Linked DNA regions of Arabidopsis thaliana. The protein of the gene in region 2 purifies or fractionates together with the protein of the main gene of each other region. This does not show direct contact. Each region holds a gene or a part of one and is shown on either strand. Other genes may lie near its edges.

Region 1 (5,970 bases), on a different chromosome or scaffold from region 2:
TTTTTAATATATTTGGGCCCATATATTTGGAAAATAAGGCCAAGAGAAAATAAACATATTAAATAAAAAAAATAGCTAGATAACCCAACAATGTATCATTTTCCAGAATTTATTAAGTCTAATTCTCAAAAGTTTGAAGGTCGATTTGATGAATTTTTAATTACTGCAAAGTTCAGGCTAATACAACTATGAACTATCCAAGCAAATAATTAAGTGGTAGTGAATAGTGATCTAGTGTACTTATCTAGCTCTACAAAATATTCATGATTTTTGATAAATTATGATCGGTATTTCAATAGGCTTACCTCATCTACTTTACTTCATGTCAAGGCAACACTGACAAGCATTACAAGACAAACTCCTATAGCACCAAACCATCATACTTTGTCTCAGCTTGCACTAAAATTTCTAAAGCGATTGCTCATGTGAGTGAACCAATTTTCAATTTGGTGACACTTTAAAAACAATATTGTGCAAGCTGTATGCCAAACAACAATGACCATTGCACACTAAATCCAAAATATGTTTTGATATAAAACACCAAACATAAATATGATGTCAAAACAGATTAGTTCATTTAGGACAAATATCAACTTCTATCAAACATACCTCATGAAAAATGAGCAAGACACCACAATATCTCTCTTGATATCAATGTACTTTGTTCTTCCATGATACTTTGATCCTTCACACATAGACTATACAAGCTTAACAATCACAATAAATAGTCATCGAGACATAAAGATCCGAATAAAACTCGCAAATCTAAATAGATTGGACATCCAGTTTTAGATTGTTGTATGGTTTGAGACATTCGATGCCCTCTGAACTAAGAAATTTACACTCTCCTTTTCAACCGAAAAAATACACGGGTAATCGTAAAACCTATAACTTAAAAACATTTATCTACTTGAACAAATGTCCTAAAAGCCTAACATTTTTCTCTGCTGAATTTTCCGACTAAGTTCCTCCGCCGACGGGATGCCGTCGTAGCCGCTTGTTCTGGCACTTTTCCCCGCGCTCTGCCACCAGGCCTTTAACTCCTCCTGCTCAGATAAATTAATGCAAAATATTCAGATGAAAACTTAGCAAATTAGCAAATTTCAAAACTTTTGACATAATTGGTCAAATTTTATTATATACCTCAAGAAAGTCTTGGTTTGAGATAAACTGAGACTCAACAAGGCAAGTCACACCTTTAACCTTAACTGAAATTAAGCTTTTCTCTGAATGTCTCCTTGAGCTTTGTCCCTCTGTGTCCCCTGGTTAAAACAAACATATTTCAGTTGCAAATATTCGAGAAATACGCGAGTTTGAGTATTGATTTATATGAAAGTGTACCAACCATCTATGCGAGCTACATAATACCCTGTTCCTCCAAGCCCTTCTTCCCATTTCCCGAGCCTTAACCGCAAGAAGAACCCTTCGAGACCCGATACAGACTTCTTGGTGTTTATCCATCTGAAATGAAATGTCAAAAGATGTTAAAGCCTCATAATGTGACAAGGGAAACAGTCTTTTAGGTGTGAATTAGATCTTACTTGAGAACGTCTGTGCGGCTCAGGCGAAGCACTTGAACAGCATCAAAGACCGCCCTTGGTACGTCTGTGAAACCACTTATGGGCAGCTTCATGCCAGAGGTAGAAGCTAAAGCGTTCTTCATAGCTCTACCTTCAGCTCCTGAACCATACAGGGGAGCATTCGGGCATGTTGCAGCCCAGTGACTAAGCTGAAAACATCTAATGCATAGACTTGACGCTTCTTCTCTTCCATTCCGCACACTTATGTTCTGTACTAGATCTCTGAGCTCAGTATCAGTTACTTCCAAACAATCCCGTAAACAATGACCCTTTTTACCGCAGTAGAAACAAATTAGATCCCTCTGTTCCTCCTCTGCATTCTCAGCTAAAGAACCTGAGGGCATGATGCTTTTCATTGCTTCTAATCTTCTAGCAAACAAAGAAGCCATTGCTTCTGAAGACTCTATTCTCATTGACGAAACTATAGGAAGGACAGTGTCCGGTTTATCGGGCCCATCTACCGAGCTGATACTGGGTCTTATAACATTCTTGTCTGCCAGCATTTTCCGTGAATCACGGGTTTTAGCTGCGTCTGAGGCTGAAGCATTGGCCTCTTTAGCCGTTTCACTTGCCTTTTTCTGAGGGAACGAACCTTTAGAAGAAAACCGACTAATCCACAAACTTTTAAGACCAGAGTTTCTGTTGGTTAAACATGGACTAACCTTTCCATCAGCTTCACCGCATGTTTTTGGCTCTTCATTTGGCTTAGACTTACTAAGAGACATCAACGAGATGTTTGGCTCTTTGTCCTCACGTTTGTTCTCTGAAGACTGTGTTTTGCTTGTCTGATTAAATACAACTTTTCCTGATGAAATGTTGGGTTCAGCCACTGGACCAATCTCATTACCAGATGAAGACAAGTCATCCCCTTTGGAAATGTCGCAATGTTCAGGAATCCAGGGAAGTTCCTGCAAAGGAGCAGCATTAACATCATTCGGGAAATCCATGTCGACGACATCTTGACTTTGTTTCTTCGGACAATATATAGACTGGAAAAAAGACTGGAAACCGGTGTTTCTGCATCCACTATTTTCCTTCACACAGCATGGACTCAATTGTTGTTGGTCAACGATGGCATTGACTTGGCCATGACCATTAGCATTTGAGGTGGTGGTAAGAGCTACAAAAGGAGAATTGTCTTCTTCATTACCTTTCCAGATTCCTTTAGTCATATTTGATATCCAATTCATGAAGGAACTATCTTGCTTGAGCTTTGAAGTTGACCCCAAACATTCTTGATTTAACGTTTTGAGCCGTTTGCTTCCAAAAATCAGCTGCTCCTCAAAGCCTGGTCTTTTCTTTCCCCTTGAGAGCAAACCCGCACTATTGCAACTTTCTACACTACCAAAACTCTCCTCATCCTCATCTTCACCATCACCACCAAAGTTTTCATCAGATAAAGCTTTCTCTTTCCCTTTTGCTTTCTCACGACGCCTGTAGGAACCACTAGGTCCAGCCTCACCCTCCGGCAAATAGTCCCCTTTACCTTCACATGCTACAACAGCAAGAGTTGCGAGGTTGTTCTCATCCATTGATTCTAAACGATCAACTCTATTATGCGCCTTATCCCCTTCTTCTTGAGATCCAGCACTTTCCATCCTCAACTGTTCATTAACCAACAAGTCTCTGGTTTCTCCTTCCATAGCTTTCGGACTATCTACTCGATAACCAAAACAAGCACAAAAGACGAAGAAACCAACTCAAAATCCATAGTTGTCATAAATGGAAGAGACGCAAACATTATTAACTTGATATAACCATTTTACCTGAAGATCTTTTGGAACATCCTGCTTCTTCATTCTTTATATCATCATTGGTTTCAACCTTATCCTCAACCATTTCAGGTTTCATATCCTCAACAGAACCACCAATCACTGCAAACACACAAGAACTCTCATTATCAAAAAAGATAACTTATCATATAGCAACCTGAAAATGGTCTATTCATTTCATTACTTGCTTGGTTCACTTGATCTCGGTTTCTCAATTCGACATCTACGTGATCTTCTTGGTCTTCAATACTTGTGCTATTTGAGTGAATCGCCATGTTAGTTAGTCCTATATCAAAGAAGTTAGGAGAGAGTAATTTTGCCTTTCCCGTGAAACTGATATCTGCACATCTTAAGCTTAGACCGTTGCTAGGAGACCACACTAATTCTGTTATAGCATCAACAGCAGCAAACTTCATTCTTGCTTCTGCATTTGCAGCACCAGCAGTACCGGAAGAACAACGACGACTCGAAGACGAAACTCCTCCTAACTCTTTACTTTGCTCATCTCCATCTCCCATACCTCCTGAAACCAATCACCCTGAGACATAAAGAACCAGAATCCATACACTATTGACCTCAACCACAAAAATGAATATCACTTAGCTTACAAAACAAGTAACACAAACCCATCAAAAATATGCAAAACAGAGTAATCAAAACACTAGATTTATTTTCTAAGATCATAAACTCATAGAACAACTTAGAGAAGTAATTTGAAATTTCGAGATTTGGAATATTAGGGATAAAGGAAATTGATAACCTATATCTCAAGCAATCACTCAATCTTCAGAATAAAGTTTTGCAATTACTGAAAACCCTAAAATCCATAAAAACTTGAGAATCAAAAACCCAGAAATCTCATAACATAAAAAAATCAAACTTTCAAAGAATTAAAACCAAATTAGAAACCATAAATTACCTCCATGGATATTCAATCATCTACTTCTGCAAATCCTTCACTTACTGAGAAAACGAAAGAGAGAGATGAAGAAGAAGAAGGAAGAAGAAGACGAAGACGACACAGCGCCAAGCGGCTATGGCTAACTTGCTTCAAAAGCTTTTTAATTGCATTTTTGTTACAAGGTCCCCAGACCGCCACGTGTACACATTCTTCTCCATACATTTCCCGCCTCTCAAATATTAAAAACCATATTAAAAAATAAGATTTGCAATATTTCTGATTTTGGCTATAAAACGATAAAATGATATATAGAAGTTAGTGTATAAATAGTAAGATAATGATATCCAAAGATTTGTAGTCATGCGAGATATTTTCTTATCATTCAAATGCAAACATATACATAAATTAATACACTAGTTTTCTTCTTTGCAAATTTCTCTTTTATCCTAAAAATCTTATGAGCCTAGAAATTTTTTATAATAATAATGAAAATTACGTAAATATGTAAATGTAGTTTTTGTTTGAAAAAAAAAGAAAGTATGATGAGTTATGTCTTCTTACGCTGTCAAGTTCTTGTTTGATTCTGTAACTGTACGGCTGCTTTGATATTTTTTTCACTTAGCTTAGAAGAAATTAATATCATATATTTTAAAAAATTCTATTTAAAATAATTTAATGTTGATGGCATAACATTGATGTATATGTTTTACCAAGAAAAACATTGATGTATATGCCAATCTTAATCATGTATAAGTCCCATGGGTATATAGGCCACATGTTTGGGTCTTTTCTTCTTTCCATTAACGTCGGTCTATCTTTTTTTTTCATAAATAACTTCTTCTTTTTTTTGGATTTTTCCGTTCTTTAGCCTTGTTTTTGACTATCTAAAACATGGTATGATTTCCAATTTTGGGTTGGTTTTTTTTTTTTTTTTACTACATTGTTGGGTTAGTTTGAAAGAGCATTTGATTTGAGTCTATAAAATGAAGATTATGAGCTTTCATGTTACAATTAATGAACAATGAGAAAATAGAAATATCAAATGATTTTATTTATTTCAATGTTTTTAATAAATTACGGGTTTTTACCCCAAACTCAGTTGTCGGATAGTAAATTAGTTGGTCTAAAATATCTCGAATCAAATTTTATTGCCGAATCGAAAACATATCTTATTTGAGTTATTCTAGTTTGGTTCAATAATCTGAGCTTAATGTTAATAGTTGAACTCGCTTTGTGTGTCTCCGTCGTATCATTTTGTAGGTGGTCGTCAAAAGATTTTACTTCTTTTTGTAATTGTATTTTACAGTTGTAGTTCAATAACCATGCGAGATTTAGAGAATATTAATAAATATTTTAATTTATAAAACGAAATAAATATTTTTCTTCTTTTTGTAATTGAACAAAAGAACATTTCTATAACGATTATTTTAATAAATATATATGTAGATAAGATTATTCTATTAATTATCTCTATATTTATTTTTTTGGTCATATCTGTGTTTTTCTTAAACAATTAACTGAAGTTTTGAATGTTGTAGGTATTTTTCGTCTGCAACAACAAATTTGAAGATATAACCTAGATATATATATATATATATGGAGACTAATTAATTTATATATCTACAACATGCCAACCTTATGCAATAGATTCCTTAATTTCTTATGATCCAAAAAATAAAGAAGAAGAAGAAGGGAAAAAAAAAGAAAACAATGAAAC
Region 2 (7,364 bases):
CGCTTGAACAAATTGTAAAATGTCTAACAAATTTTTTTTTGTTCTTTTCTTCCGTGGGTTTAAGGTTCTTATATGTGCCAACGCGAGAACAAGGGTGTACCATGTGATAATTGCAAAGCGTACTGTAGGAAGGCATACGTCGGGCCTAACGATTATGGTCGTTGCGTGGGACTATATGGATTCCGTACGTGCACCTGTTATTATGAATGTAGCAATTGGCCATCTTCATTTTTATCATAAAAAAAGTTATCTATGTTTCATCACTTCATGTTTGTATGTGTTTTTGTGTACGTGTGTATGCATCAGAATACAAAAAAAGTTGTATGCATCAGAATAAAAGGAGCTTTTTTCGTATGACCTGATCAATGCTCTTACAAAAAATTTGTCATTGCAATGAATGATTCCCAAATAACATGAAAACTAGACGATTACCGCACCTTGTTTGGTAGAATATAATCAGAAAACTATACAAATAATATATATTAAATATAATAATAGCGTTTCGAAACATATATTAATAGATGTTTTGTCATATTGGAATCCAGAAGAAAAAAAAGACTAATATTTATAATCATAACAGAAATCAAAGCTTTTCGTTGGGTCTCGAATGGTCACAAGTCCACAAGACAATAAAGATTCAAGATTTGCGCCGAACACGCCCATGTAGCCTTTGCATTCATTAAACGCAGTACTAGTTCTTCTGGTTTTTAAGTCAAACAAAAGGACTGAGTCATTGTCAATGATGAAACAATCATTTGATTCAATGAACACAATGCAATTCTCCTTTGCACCTGGGAGCTTATGTACTGAGCAGCAGAGATTCGTCTGAGCTCCAAGAAAGATCACTCGGTCGTTCAAGTCATTAACTTGAACCCACTTTCTCTTTCCTCTTTCTTCATCAAGTCTAAACACTCTGAACCATGTATATATATATATTCATCATAACGCCGCCCAACAGGTGTGAACCGTTGCACTAGCAACAACTCCTCGCCTGACTGCACCAGACTTTCTTTAGAAGACTGTTGCGATCCTCCGACTGAGGGGATCTCCGTAACTTCGAAAGAAAGTTCGACAACAAAGACCCGTCCCCTTCCACTTGAATCAACAGCATAAAACTTTCCTTTGAATGCAACCAAATCTTGATATGCATACTTTTCAGGATGCTCCACAACTTGAGTCCAACTCATGTTACGGCTTCTATACATCACCAAATTGCACATTCTTCCAGCAAAAAGCACCGCAAAATCTCTGCTATCTTCACTATCCAGTTTAAGAAATTCAACTCTCTCGGTAATCTCCACCCACTCTAGTTTATAGGGAAATCCAAAGCGGTATTCACTGGGTCGCTTCTCAATGTAGGTTATCTGCATCGAAGATTATGGGGCTAAATTGAAGACACAAGGAAAATAATGATAATAATAACAGGACCAACTTTGCGGTCTTATTTATTAATTAGCAAGGTTAGAGAGAATTTATTAGAGATAAGATTACATGCTGCTAATACGATGGGTTTGATATCAGTTTAAATCCTATATATCTTAGTTATGAATAGTGTGACTTGTATATATTTATTTACAGAATCGTGATTAATACCACAAAGAATTCCAAACATTAGCTGATTTACCTCAAAATCAGTTAGACAATGAAATAAGTAACAATCTCAAGCACCCTACTAACTAAAAAGTGGTGGTTAAATGATTATCAAAAAGAAAAGATAAAAGTTTCAAAAACTAATATGAGCTTTTGAACACCAACCTCGTAGTATTGTCCAAATGGGATAATTGGTGAGGTAAGAGAGTTGAACAACACTTTATTTATTCCCATTCCATACTTGATACCATTAGATGACAAGGGCGACAACAATAACTTCGGTTCCCCATCATTTCGTTCACGCATCTCTGCCAATAGATAATCATCACCAAACGGAGTCCAGAATTTCACGAGATATATTGGAATCTTTTTTAGTGTGCAATATTCATTCGTTGGTCGGCCGTTGAACGAAAAGCCGACATTGAACGATATATCATGAGTTTTGATACCTAAGCAGCGGGAATGATCTAGTGGAGGTACAACAGACCGCCATGAGCTGCAGACGGAACGGAAGAGGAAAATCTCGAAAGATGTCTCAAGATGACCCATGATTAGTTCTAGTAAGTCATTCGGAAGTAAGGGCCAATCTGCCATCGTTAAATTCCACCGTAAAGATCTGTATGTAAAACTGAAGAATTAAAAGTTAAGGATATATAATGAAGAAATATATATTTATCACAATAAGATTTGATTTTGCTCCCTTTTAAAAATATATAGATTTCACATTTATAACCCAATTAAGAGTATATTATTATTTTAAAACATAACTAAAGTAAAATCTTATATATAGATAAATTGAAGAAAGAGATTTTTACTATGTTAAGATTAAGATTAAGGGAAATGAAGACGTCTGTCATGATAAATTTTTACTTTTCTCCATTTCACAAATATTTAAATTTTTACATTTAATTATAAGTTATAACCCAGTTTGGAATATAATAAAACATAAAGTTAATATACAATTTAAAAATATATTTTACTACATAAAATTGAACAAGACCCTACCAAAAAAAAATCGAACAAACCTTACCAAAATAAAAATAAAAATATTTGGCTTATATAGGTTTTAGGTATTTCGGATGGTTGATTTTATTCGTCGCATACAGATTTCGTGTGTGGTTTCTCTGACTGATTCCAGGCACCAAAGAAGGACAAAGTCCCACCACCATCCTCTAAACCCGCCAAATCCGGTGGCGGAAAGCAGAAAAAGAAGGTCCTTTACCAAATCACAATCACTTTTTTTTTTACTTGATCAGTAAGTTTCTTTGATTTGGTTTCTGGTGGGTTTTGTTTTATTTACGTTTCTCATTTCTTGATTTCAACAGAAGTGGAGCAAAGGAAAGCAAAAGGAGAAGGTGAACAACATGGTTCTGTTCGATCAAGCAACTTACGACAAGCTTATGTCTGAAGCTCCTAAGTTCAAATTGATCACTCCTTCGATTCTCTCTGACCGTCTTCGGGTAAACTAACTAACTCTCTACCTCCACTCTTTTCACTGAATTAGCTCTTTATAATGTGTTGGGATAGGTTCAAGATTATCGAGTTATTGAAAGAGAAATTTTATTGTGCTCAAGAATTTGATCATGTGTAAAATGTTGTATTGGTTTCTGTCGTAGATCAATGGGTCGCTTGCTAGAAAGGCGATAAGAGATTTGATGGTGAAAGGCACGATAAGGATGGTTTCTACTCACTCAAGTCAGCAGATTAACACTAGGGCTACTTGCTTGACTTAATGTTAAATGTTACTCTTTTTCCCTTGAATCAAGATTTTCGAGAGAACAGATTTACTTACCACTTTGAATTATGCTATCATTTTTGTAAGGCCAGTAACAAATCAAAATACTGATGCGGTAACGATTAAAAGGGAATATTTATGATGCAAACAAGGTATTCATACATAAACTGAAACTATTATAAGAATAGTCAGACTGACATATAAGGTAGAACCTGTCAAAATATTTGATCGTAGCAAGCCTGCTAGCTAGTTCTGTTTGATGTTCTTGACTTTACGTTGTAATGATAAACAAGGGAAGATGAGGATGATGGTTTTGTTTTCCTACCTCAAATCCCTTGCATTCCAAACCATGAGAGAGTTGGTCTTTCTAAGACCATATGGGTTTAAACCGCTCAGAGCCTTCCCCATCAATGCCATGGCTGCAATACTCGGATACTGTTTCTTCTCGAACTCCTTGTGACTCTCTGGCTCAAAGCTAGCTTCTTGCCCTGTTGGTTGATCTGTTGATGTAGTTTTCTTCTTGCACCACCTCTGGATCCATGGATGCAGAAGTGTAATGTCATCTCCTCCTTGTCTCAGATCATTGCTCTGTGAAACGACGGGTTCTTGATTTCTCGGTTGGAGATTGTTGATTCCGGACTTCAAGATCTCAAGGAATAGATTATTGTTCTCTTTTTCTCCCAGTGATGCTTCTTTCATCTTCATCATGCTCTTGGTTTCACTGGAATCTGAGGGGCTTGTCTTCAGACGCTTGACCCATCTACTGCTGGCTTCTACTTCTGGTTCCAACCGCACACGTTTGCAATCTCTGGACAGAAAGTGTTCCACATTCATACTTTGAGTAGCCGAGTTGCTTGTTTCTCCCTGATGTCCATCTACTGAATTCTCTCTATCCGGAACAAGAGGTGGTTCTTCATTCATGTCAGGTATTTCGGTCCTTGGAATGGCTGAGTAGCCTTTTATTCCTTTTCCCTGCGGAATTTTCAACATCTTTCACAATCACAACTTTCAACATTTTGAGTAAAGATATGTAGATATGTCGATTGAACAATACCTTAGTTGATGACGAAGAAATGGAGCCGGAAAGATGTATAGTCTGAAGTCTATCCATTTCTAAGGTATTAGTCTCTGCCGATGATTCATTTTTTCTCGGTCCATCTTCTTGAGTATCCTTTGAGCTTTCTAGAGACTGCAGCCTTACTCCTCCTCTATTGTGGGAGTGATCTTGATTAGGAAACAGATCAAGATATCCACCAAAAATCTTCCCTTTCAGTTTCATGGAAACTGTAGACCCCTTCAATAACTGATGACTATCTTCTTTAGGCAAGTTAACAGAATCAACCGTTGCGTAAATCCTCACCGGTCTTATCAACTCTAGCAAGTTTTGAGTAGTCTTTTCTTGAATTGGGAAGTCAAGACGGTTACTAGAACTGAAGTTCTCTCCTTGCGGATACATCCAGGGCATTCTATTAACCATAGCTCTCGAGCTTGAACCAACATCTTCATGGAAAGACGGTTTAGTAGTAGTAGTAGTAGTAGTCTCTCTCTTTTGAGAAACCTTGAACATAGGAAACGGCAAGACCTCGACTCCATGATTCTCATCTTCAGGTCTTATCAACTGCTTAGAGCAATTGGTCTCACCATCATGAAACTTCACTTCACTACCTGACTGAGTCCAACGACCTAACCAAGCTGATTCATATGGATTGACTGAAGAATTCTTGCTGATTCCTTTGTTACCTTTACCCAAAACCATAACATGTTCAGACATTTGTACGTACCTACAGATCTTCTCCAGAGGCTTTGATTAAATCACCTGAGAAGTAAATATCCTTTATCTCAATCATAATTCAAAACAAACACAATACTAAACTAGAGCTCATGAGCATCAAGCAAGTGGATAATTACTATGATCTCAAAATTCTCTTCACCAAATTTCACACAACCTCAGAATTAAACCTAAAGAACACAAAAAGTTTCATCAAACAAATGTGAGGAGGATCACATTCTTATTCTTTTTTTGATAAACTAGGATCACATTCTTTTTCAGTAAATTCTCCAAAAAAAAAAAAAAAAAAAAGAAGCTAATTCCACAAATTTATACTTACAATTACACCAGATATATAAAATCCAGAAACAAGTACAAATCCATTTTTCTTGTGTGGAAGAAATACAAATCGATTCAATCGATGAGCAAACTGTACCACCAGAAACAAGAGTCACACAAAAGAAAAAAAAAAGAGATTTGTGATGGAGATTATTACCAGAGACGAATACGTGGAGGTACACTGTCCAAAGAAACGAAGTACGAATTTTCTTATAATTCTCTCAAGTACTTATTTGGATGAGAAAAAAAAAAAAAAAAAAAAAAAAAACAGAACCTTCAGAAGAAAATAAGACAGAAGAGATGGGCTTTTGTCGGAAAGAGCAGAAGATGTAAATCTCAATATCTATTGTCCAAAGAAGGTGTTAAAAAGAACCTCGTATTTCGTATAGGCATCGACGAATTATAGTTATCTTCGAATTTTTTAATAAGTTGAAAAGTTATTTTAGTTGAAAAATGACGTGTTCATTTTTGTGCCATGTCTAATGCAAATGGGCACAATAATATCAAGAACATTAACTGTACATATATCTAGATATTTTTAATTTTGCCATGTGTGTCTATCAGGTTATAAAAATATCTTCTTCTTGCCCATAAAGTTTAAGAGATATCTTTCTTTAATCAATGTGTTTTCTATACGTCAACGTAGATCTTTTTTTATTAGATCATGTCTCCAAAGACGGCTATGTACTTTTAGCATTCAAATGCTTGTAAACGAAAACAAGAGTCTTCGTGCCTATGACTAGGCAATTGAATCGTGGTAAAGGTTGATAAATTTTTTGATCAGCCAAAATCTTTAGTAATGTCGAACAATTTATCTCAAACGAAACATATTTAAAATTATGTTGTATGAAGCAGTTTATTGTTCAGTAATTAGAAAATGCAAGTGTAGAAGAGATTGAATGAGTTTTAGACCAAAAAAAAAAAAAAAAGAAGAGATGGGATGAGTTATTTTTGGCCATTTAGATAATGTTATTTGCGTAATCACGAATTTTGCGGTATTAGTTTATTTGCGTCGTGCAAAATGGCTAAGTAAGCATTAAATTACATCAAATCTTTAGAGAGAGAAATAACTTGCAATAGCAAATGATGAGGAAACTAACCTATACAATAAAGTTTATATTAGAGTTGATGTATAATATATAATATGACAATTTTATCCTCCCTACTATCACCATTAACCACCACCACAACAACCATCACCACCACAGTTTCGCTATCGGCGGAACCACCACTACCGCCGTCATCTTCATCACCACTACCGCAGTCCTCCAACTCCAAGCCACCATCTTCATTGGAACCACTGCCCTCGCCGGAGCTACCAGTGTCCTCACCACCATCGCCGTCCTCCAAGCCACCATCCTCGCGAGAACCACTCGCCGGATCCACCGCATGTCCTCACTAGATTCACACTGTTGCCGAACTTACCACCATCGTTGGAGCCACCATCGTCGGAGCCGTCACCTCCTCCATTGGTCATTTAATTTATCTTTTATGTTAGTTAACTGATACATATATAGTGCTATATTTTTAAATTTTTATTAAAAAATTGTTAAATTCTGCCAAAAAAAAAGAAAAAGAGAAAGAAAAGTAAATTATAAAGGAAAAAACAAGAACTCTACAAAAAGTTTTTTTTAATAATAATGATTATGCCAAGATTTGTTAGAGAATCTATAATGGTGAATTCTTAGCAAAGATTCTTAGCAATATTTTTATAATTGATTTGAAAGTTTTGAAGTTAAAAGTTTGGATAAAAGTTTAAATGTTTGGCAATGTCCAATCGTAAGCTCTTAAGTTGAGGTTTTTAAAAAATATATAAACATTTGATTTTTAAAAATTTTAATAATTATTGCAATTCATAAAATTTGAAACATACATGATATCAAAGTTTAAACATACATGACATAAACATACATAAAACGATTAGTAGTACAT
Region 3 (4,764 bases), on a different chromosome or scaffold from region 2:
GGGGCGTTTTGGAGCCATAAAGGATGCAACTCGATACTAGAAAACATGATCAGCGAAGGAGTTCCGGTGATTTGCAGGCCATTTTCGGGTGAACGCAAGGTACTTGGAGTGTGTTTGGAAAATTGGGATTCAAGTGGAGGGTGATCTAGAAAGAGGAGCGGTCGAGAGAGCTGTGAAGAGGTTAACGGTTTTCGAAGAAGGAGAGGAAATGAGAAAGAGAGCCGTCACTTTGAAGGAGGAGCTGAGAGCCTCTGTTAGAGGTGGAGGTTCTTTACACAACTCGCTAAAGGAGTTTGAACACTTCATGATGACTCTATGAAGACAATTACTTGTGTGGATGTTAAGAAATCTATGTACTTTTCTATTCTAGAAGAATCTCGCTACTATTAAATAAGATAATCAAGGTCTGAAGATAAGGTTGTCACTGAATGTATGATGTGCAGAGAAACAATCATATATTAATGAAAATTATGAACATATATTGGAGATGAAAAGGTCTTGAAATTATTATCTAAATCTCAAAGTAGAACCCTAAGTGGCTGAAACCTATGTCAGCAAGAAACATTGGAAAGACTTTTGCTTTTGTTAAAATGTCACTTTCTTCCTTTTGTTGGACGTTCATTGGTATGTGGCTCTCCAATCACTCGTAAGGTCATCATATGAGGAATACTTGATTGTATTAAAATGGCTTCTTCTGAAACATTTGATTGGTTTATAAATTTTTAAAATAAAGTTTGTGTCTGACGCCATCTCTCACAGAAATAAACAATTCACTCTCTTGATTACCACTTTAAGAAGTCTGCAGACAAATAAAACAAAGGGACTTACCTCTTACAAGATAGAAAAATGAGTATATGAAATTTGTCTGCAGTCTTCTCTTGGTTTAGCTTCTACATGATACTTTGTATGATCCTCTCCTGAACAGATGCAATTTGGGACTTTGCGGTGGAAAACTCCGCAAAAGATAAGAAATTTTGTAGACACCAAGAACCTGTAACAACAATCAAATATGATCAAGACCTGCAAAAGATGCAGAACCCAAACATAAAAGAGAAACTGCTCATTCTACCTAAAAGCTTGCACAGGTAATATCTTGTCTAGATCAAAAAACATCACAAGACTTTCCCAATGAGGAAACCAAAACCAAAATAACATGACACTATCACTTCTGCAAAAAGAGTACACAAGAAAATGTCGAGCCACATGACACATATGCTCTCTTGGATTTGACATAACTCACAGTGTTAGTTACCTAGTCCCGAAGAGAAAATTAAACACATGGTTTTCAAAACCACCATATAATTCCGAAGATGAATCAAACATGATCTGGATTACATTAAGTCTCAAGTCACATGAGAGCAATTTTGATACTTAATTCTCAATAACATTTCAACATAGCACAAGAATCTCAAAATCAAATTCAACTTAGTTGATTATATTAACTCTGTCAACATCACCAAACAAGTGATTATTAAGACTTTATTGTATACCATTTATAGTAAAAGACAGAAACTTGATGAAAATTTCGATCAAATCGAGTAAGAATTATAACTGTACTGTACTTAAAAAAACAGAAACTTGACAATAATTATCAGTTCCACGAGCAATAACAAGCTCACCTATCTCTTCCTCCCCCATTGAATCCATCTATAGACTCTTTTTAATTCTCATTTGCGCTTCCACCTCCAACAGAAGGATAAGAAGCCATGGATCCAAACTTATTCTGCTGCATCATATAAGGATTTGACTCAAACGCACCATTTCCACCAGCTCCATGATGATGACGATGATTCTGATGATAAGGATCATGATTATGATTTTGATGATGATATCCTTGCATACCCATATGATGTGCATAAACTGGCATCTGCATCATCTGTTGCGTTCCATACGCCCCCGGAATCGGCACTCCAACATTACCGCTGCTACCGCCACCGCCACCGATATCTTGGAAGCTCTGTGGAGGAACAGGTGTTGAAGAGAAGAGCTTATCCGAAGCAGAGGGACCTTCATTAGTCAATCCCTGCATCCTTTTGAGGTAAAGCCTATACTTTTGAAGATGAGACGCAACGTTCTCACGAGTTAATCCTTCAACGTTCATCAGCTGCATAATCGTCTTCGGAACAGCGTTTTTGATCCCTAAGTGAGCTACAACGTCAACGAATCTCTTGTGTAGCTGCGGTGTCCACACTAAACGCGGTCGTTTAAGTGTTTTCCCAGATAGATCTTCAGTTCCTGAATCTCCTTCTTCCGCCGCCATCGCCGAATCCGGATCCACACCGCCACCGTCATCTCCATCACCGTTTGATGTCTTTTGCTTCTTCGAATCCGATCCAGGACTGCTAGATCCAACTCGATCTTCCTCCTCCACGTTATTATTCGACGACGAGGTATTTGGACCTGAAGATCCACCACGTAGCGACGAGAGCGTCGTCTCCGATGCACGATTCACATCCTGAATCGTACGGCTTCTCTCCGGTGTGATACTAAACGCCATCGCCAAATTCGGTGGAATCAGAGAGTAAGAAAGAGATGCTAGATCTTCGTCGCTTGGTAATCCCATCTCCCATTCAGAAACCCTATCTCCGTCGCCGGAAACATCGTAATCGCTCATTTGTACTTCCTCTCCCATTTCAAACTCTCTAATTTCTCGAAATTCAGTTAGAGATTGAGCTCTTCGAAGCTCAAAATCGATAAAAATTCAAATCTGAGATCGGAGAAGAAGAGAAGTTTGGTTTGTGAAGATGATGAGCAAACAATTTTTTTTTTTTTTTTTTTCAGAAGTGAAACAATTTCGAAAAAGAGAAGATTATCACTTGTTTTATATTTTTCTTTTCCAGGAAAAAGCGCAATATTTTAATTCCAACGTGGACGAGTTAGCTAGATATTTTAGATCTTCTAAATATCTTTTCAAACCGACCTAACCAATCTCTTTTCAACACGTCATCAGTTCACATTATGTATCAATAGTTACGATCTAGGTGATTGAAATTGAAATTACCAAACTAGGCACGTAAGATGGAGCCACGTGGAGTGAAAAGAGCCAAGTCAGCTATTTGTGAGGGTTTTTCAGTAAATTACTACCGACTTAGCAAGTTGTGTTTGCGGGCCTAGAGAGAAAGTGGGCAAAACCGGTGGGTTCGGCCAGCTGGAGAGTGAAAAGAGGAGAAAGATTCGGTGATGAGTATCTACAGTACTGACACGCAATGTGATCTTTCCACCGTTGGATTGTTGTTTTAGATATTTATAGAAGCATATAAAGATCAATCTAACGGCACAGATTGGCTGGCACCTAACTTTTAAGAAAATGAAAATAATTATTGTGGAAAGGCTCAGAGAGGTTTAGTTACTCTGTTTAGCTTCTTCAACGTCACGGGTTCGATGCCCCAACTTCACAAACTGACGAAACGTTATCTTCTTCTCAAATTTCTGATTCTCTGAGATTTCCCCAATTTTTCATCTTCTTCGAGTGATTAGTACAGATTAGGGTTTTATTCGTTATTATTGTCTATATTACTCCTTGATTGTGGTCGATGACCTCGCTACTTCTTCTCAGAACGCTTCCGCTTCTCCGCAACGGATTTCTCAACCATCGTCATCAAGTTGGTATCGTAGCTGGTGGAATTCTCAGTCACCGTCGGCGTTTGTTGTGTTCTCTTGCTGATAGACCACAGTTTTACGAGAATAATGATTCTGTTTCTCCGGTGGAGGGATCCGGCGCGGCGGCGATGAACGTGACATCGCCTGTTGTTGATAATAGCTGGCGTTATGAAGATCCTGATTATCGGAAATGGAAGAATCTAGAGGCTGAGATTCTTCGAGATATTGAACCTATTTCTCTTCTCGCTAAAGAAATTCTTCATTCCGATAGGTAATTTCTTCAAATTCTTGCTGATTGTTCTTCAATAGCTGTTCCATGTTTGGATTAGTATTGAAGGTATAGGCTCATAGCTTCTTCCAGTAGCTTAATCAAACAACATAGAGACACCATATGGCCTTTTGAGGTGACTATTACACATGATGATATTCTTGGCTTATTGTTGAGGATCCTTTAGCAATGGATGATAGGATTATAGTGGTCATTGCAGAAAGTGAGAGATGCTCTTGTATATATCTTCAGTTTACTTGAACATTAGGCAAATTACAACTTTTTTCTAGTGAACTATTGACATTTGAAGCTAGCTTCAGAGCATACTTGCTGTTTTCTTTGTGTAGATTACTTTTTGCAGTTCTAGTGAGCTGTTTTTTTTTTCCTTTTTGGTAAGCAGGTATTTGGATGGAGAACGCTTAGATTTTGAGGATGAGAAAATTGTCATGGAAAAGCTTCTTCCTTATCACCCATATTCCAAAGACAAAATTGGTTGTGGTCTTGATTTTATAATGGTACGTAAATTCGAGCTAACCCGATATCTCTCTCTTTAAGCTCTACTCATATAGAAATTATCTTGAGGTATTGTGCATAGTTCTCGAATCACCATGATAGATATATGACTTACTTACATGCTCTATCCATAAATCTTCATTTGCTTTATGTGCATGGACTTATGAGTGTGCTACTTTGTTACTGGCAGGTTGATCGGCATCCACAATTCAGGCACTCAAGATGCCTCTTTGTTGTGAGAACAGATGGTGGATGGATAGATTTCTCGTACCAAAAGTGTCTTCGAGCCTATGTTCGAGATAAGTACCCGTCTCACGCTGAGAGGTTTATTCGTGAACATTTTAAGCGTGCTAGTAGCTAAAAATCTGTATAACTGTCCCACT

Evidence for each region. The genes of interacting proteins can lie anywhere in the genome.
Region 1: the proteins of AT2G16365 (region 2) and TZP purify together in Arabidopsis thaliana (affinity purification with mass spectrometry, with the first as the bait; one study listed by BioGRID). This does not show direct contact.
Region 3: the proteins of AT2G16365 (region 2) and PCL1 purify together in Arabidopsis thaliana (affinity purification with mass spectrometry, with the first as the bait; one study listed by BioGRID). This does not show direct contact.

The regions. Positions count from the first base shown.
Region 1 is NC_003076.8:17,525,161-17,531,130, reverse strand, and holds TZP (zinc knuckle (CCHC-type) family protein), read right to left. Parts: upstream 4,403-5,970; 5' UTR 4,272-4,402; exon of another isoform or gene 3,891-4,271; 5' UTR 3,871-3,890; coding exon 3,537-3,870; intron 3,455-3,536; coding exon 3,347-3,454; intron 3,238-3,346; coding exon 1,542-3,237; intron 1,462-1,541; coding exon 1,346-1,461; intron 1,263-1,345; coding exon 1,144-1,262; intron 1,047-1,143; coding exon 924-1,046; 3' UTR 526-923; downstream 1-525.
Region 2 is NC_003071.7:7,072,672-7,080,035, reverse strand, and holds AT2G16365 (F-box family protein), read right to left. Parts: upstream 5,675-7,364; 5' UTR 5,590-5,674; exon of another isoform or gene 5,434-5,589; intron 5,385-5,433; exon of another isoform or gene 5,142-5,384; 5' UTR 5,097-5,141; coding exon 4,380-5,096; intron 4,298-4,379; coding exon 3,651-4,297; coding exon of another isoform or gene 3,647-3,650; exon of another isoform or gene 3,387-3,646; intron 3,324-3,386; coding exon of another isoform or gene 3,207-3,323; intron 3,051-3,206; coding exon of another isoform or gene 2,916-3,050; intron 2,804-2,915; coding exon of another isoform or gene 2,726-2,803; intron 2,219-2,725; coding exon 1,756-2,218; intron 1,365-1,755; coding exon 855-1,364; 3' UTR 517-854; downstream 1-516. Other genes in the region: AT2G16340 (uncharacterized protein), read right to left, coding at 6,552-6,791, 6,858-6,902. UniProt on the Arabidopsis thaliana protein: Together with PCHL, regulates growth and development adaptation to the ambient environment by controlling negatively phytochrome B (phyB) dark reversion, a temperature-dependent thermal relaxation process during which phyB reverts from the active to the inactive state.
Region 3 is NC_003074.8:17,181,116-17,185,879, reverse strand, and holds PCL1 (Homeodomain-like superfamily protein), read right to left. Parts: upstream 2,811-4,764; 5' UTR 2,633-2,810; coding exon 1,759-2,632; coding exon of another isoform or gene 1,661-1,758; exon of another isoform or gene 994-1,660; intron 992-993; coding exon 891-991; 3' UTR 829-890; exon of another isoform or gene 695-828; 3' UTR 526-694; downstream 1-525. Other genes in the region: AT3G46650 (UDP-Glycosyltransferase superfamily protein), read left to right, coding at 100-319; AT3G46630 (DCL protein (DUF3223)), read left to right, coding at 3,534-3,871, 4,269-4,383, 4,572-4,742. UniProt on the Arabidopsis thaliana protein: Transcription factor that is essential for the generation of the circadian clock oscillation. Is necessary for activation of CCA1 and LHY expression.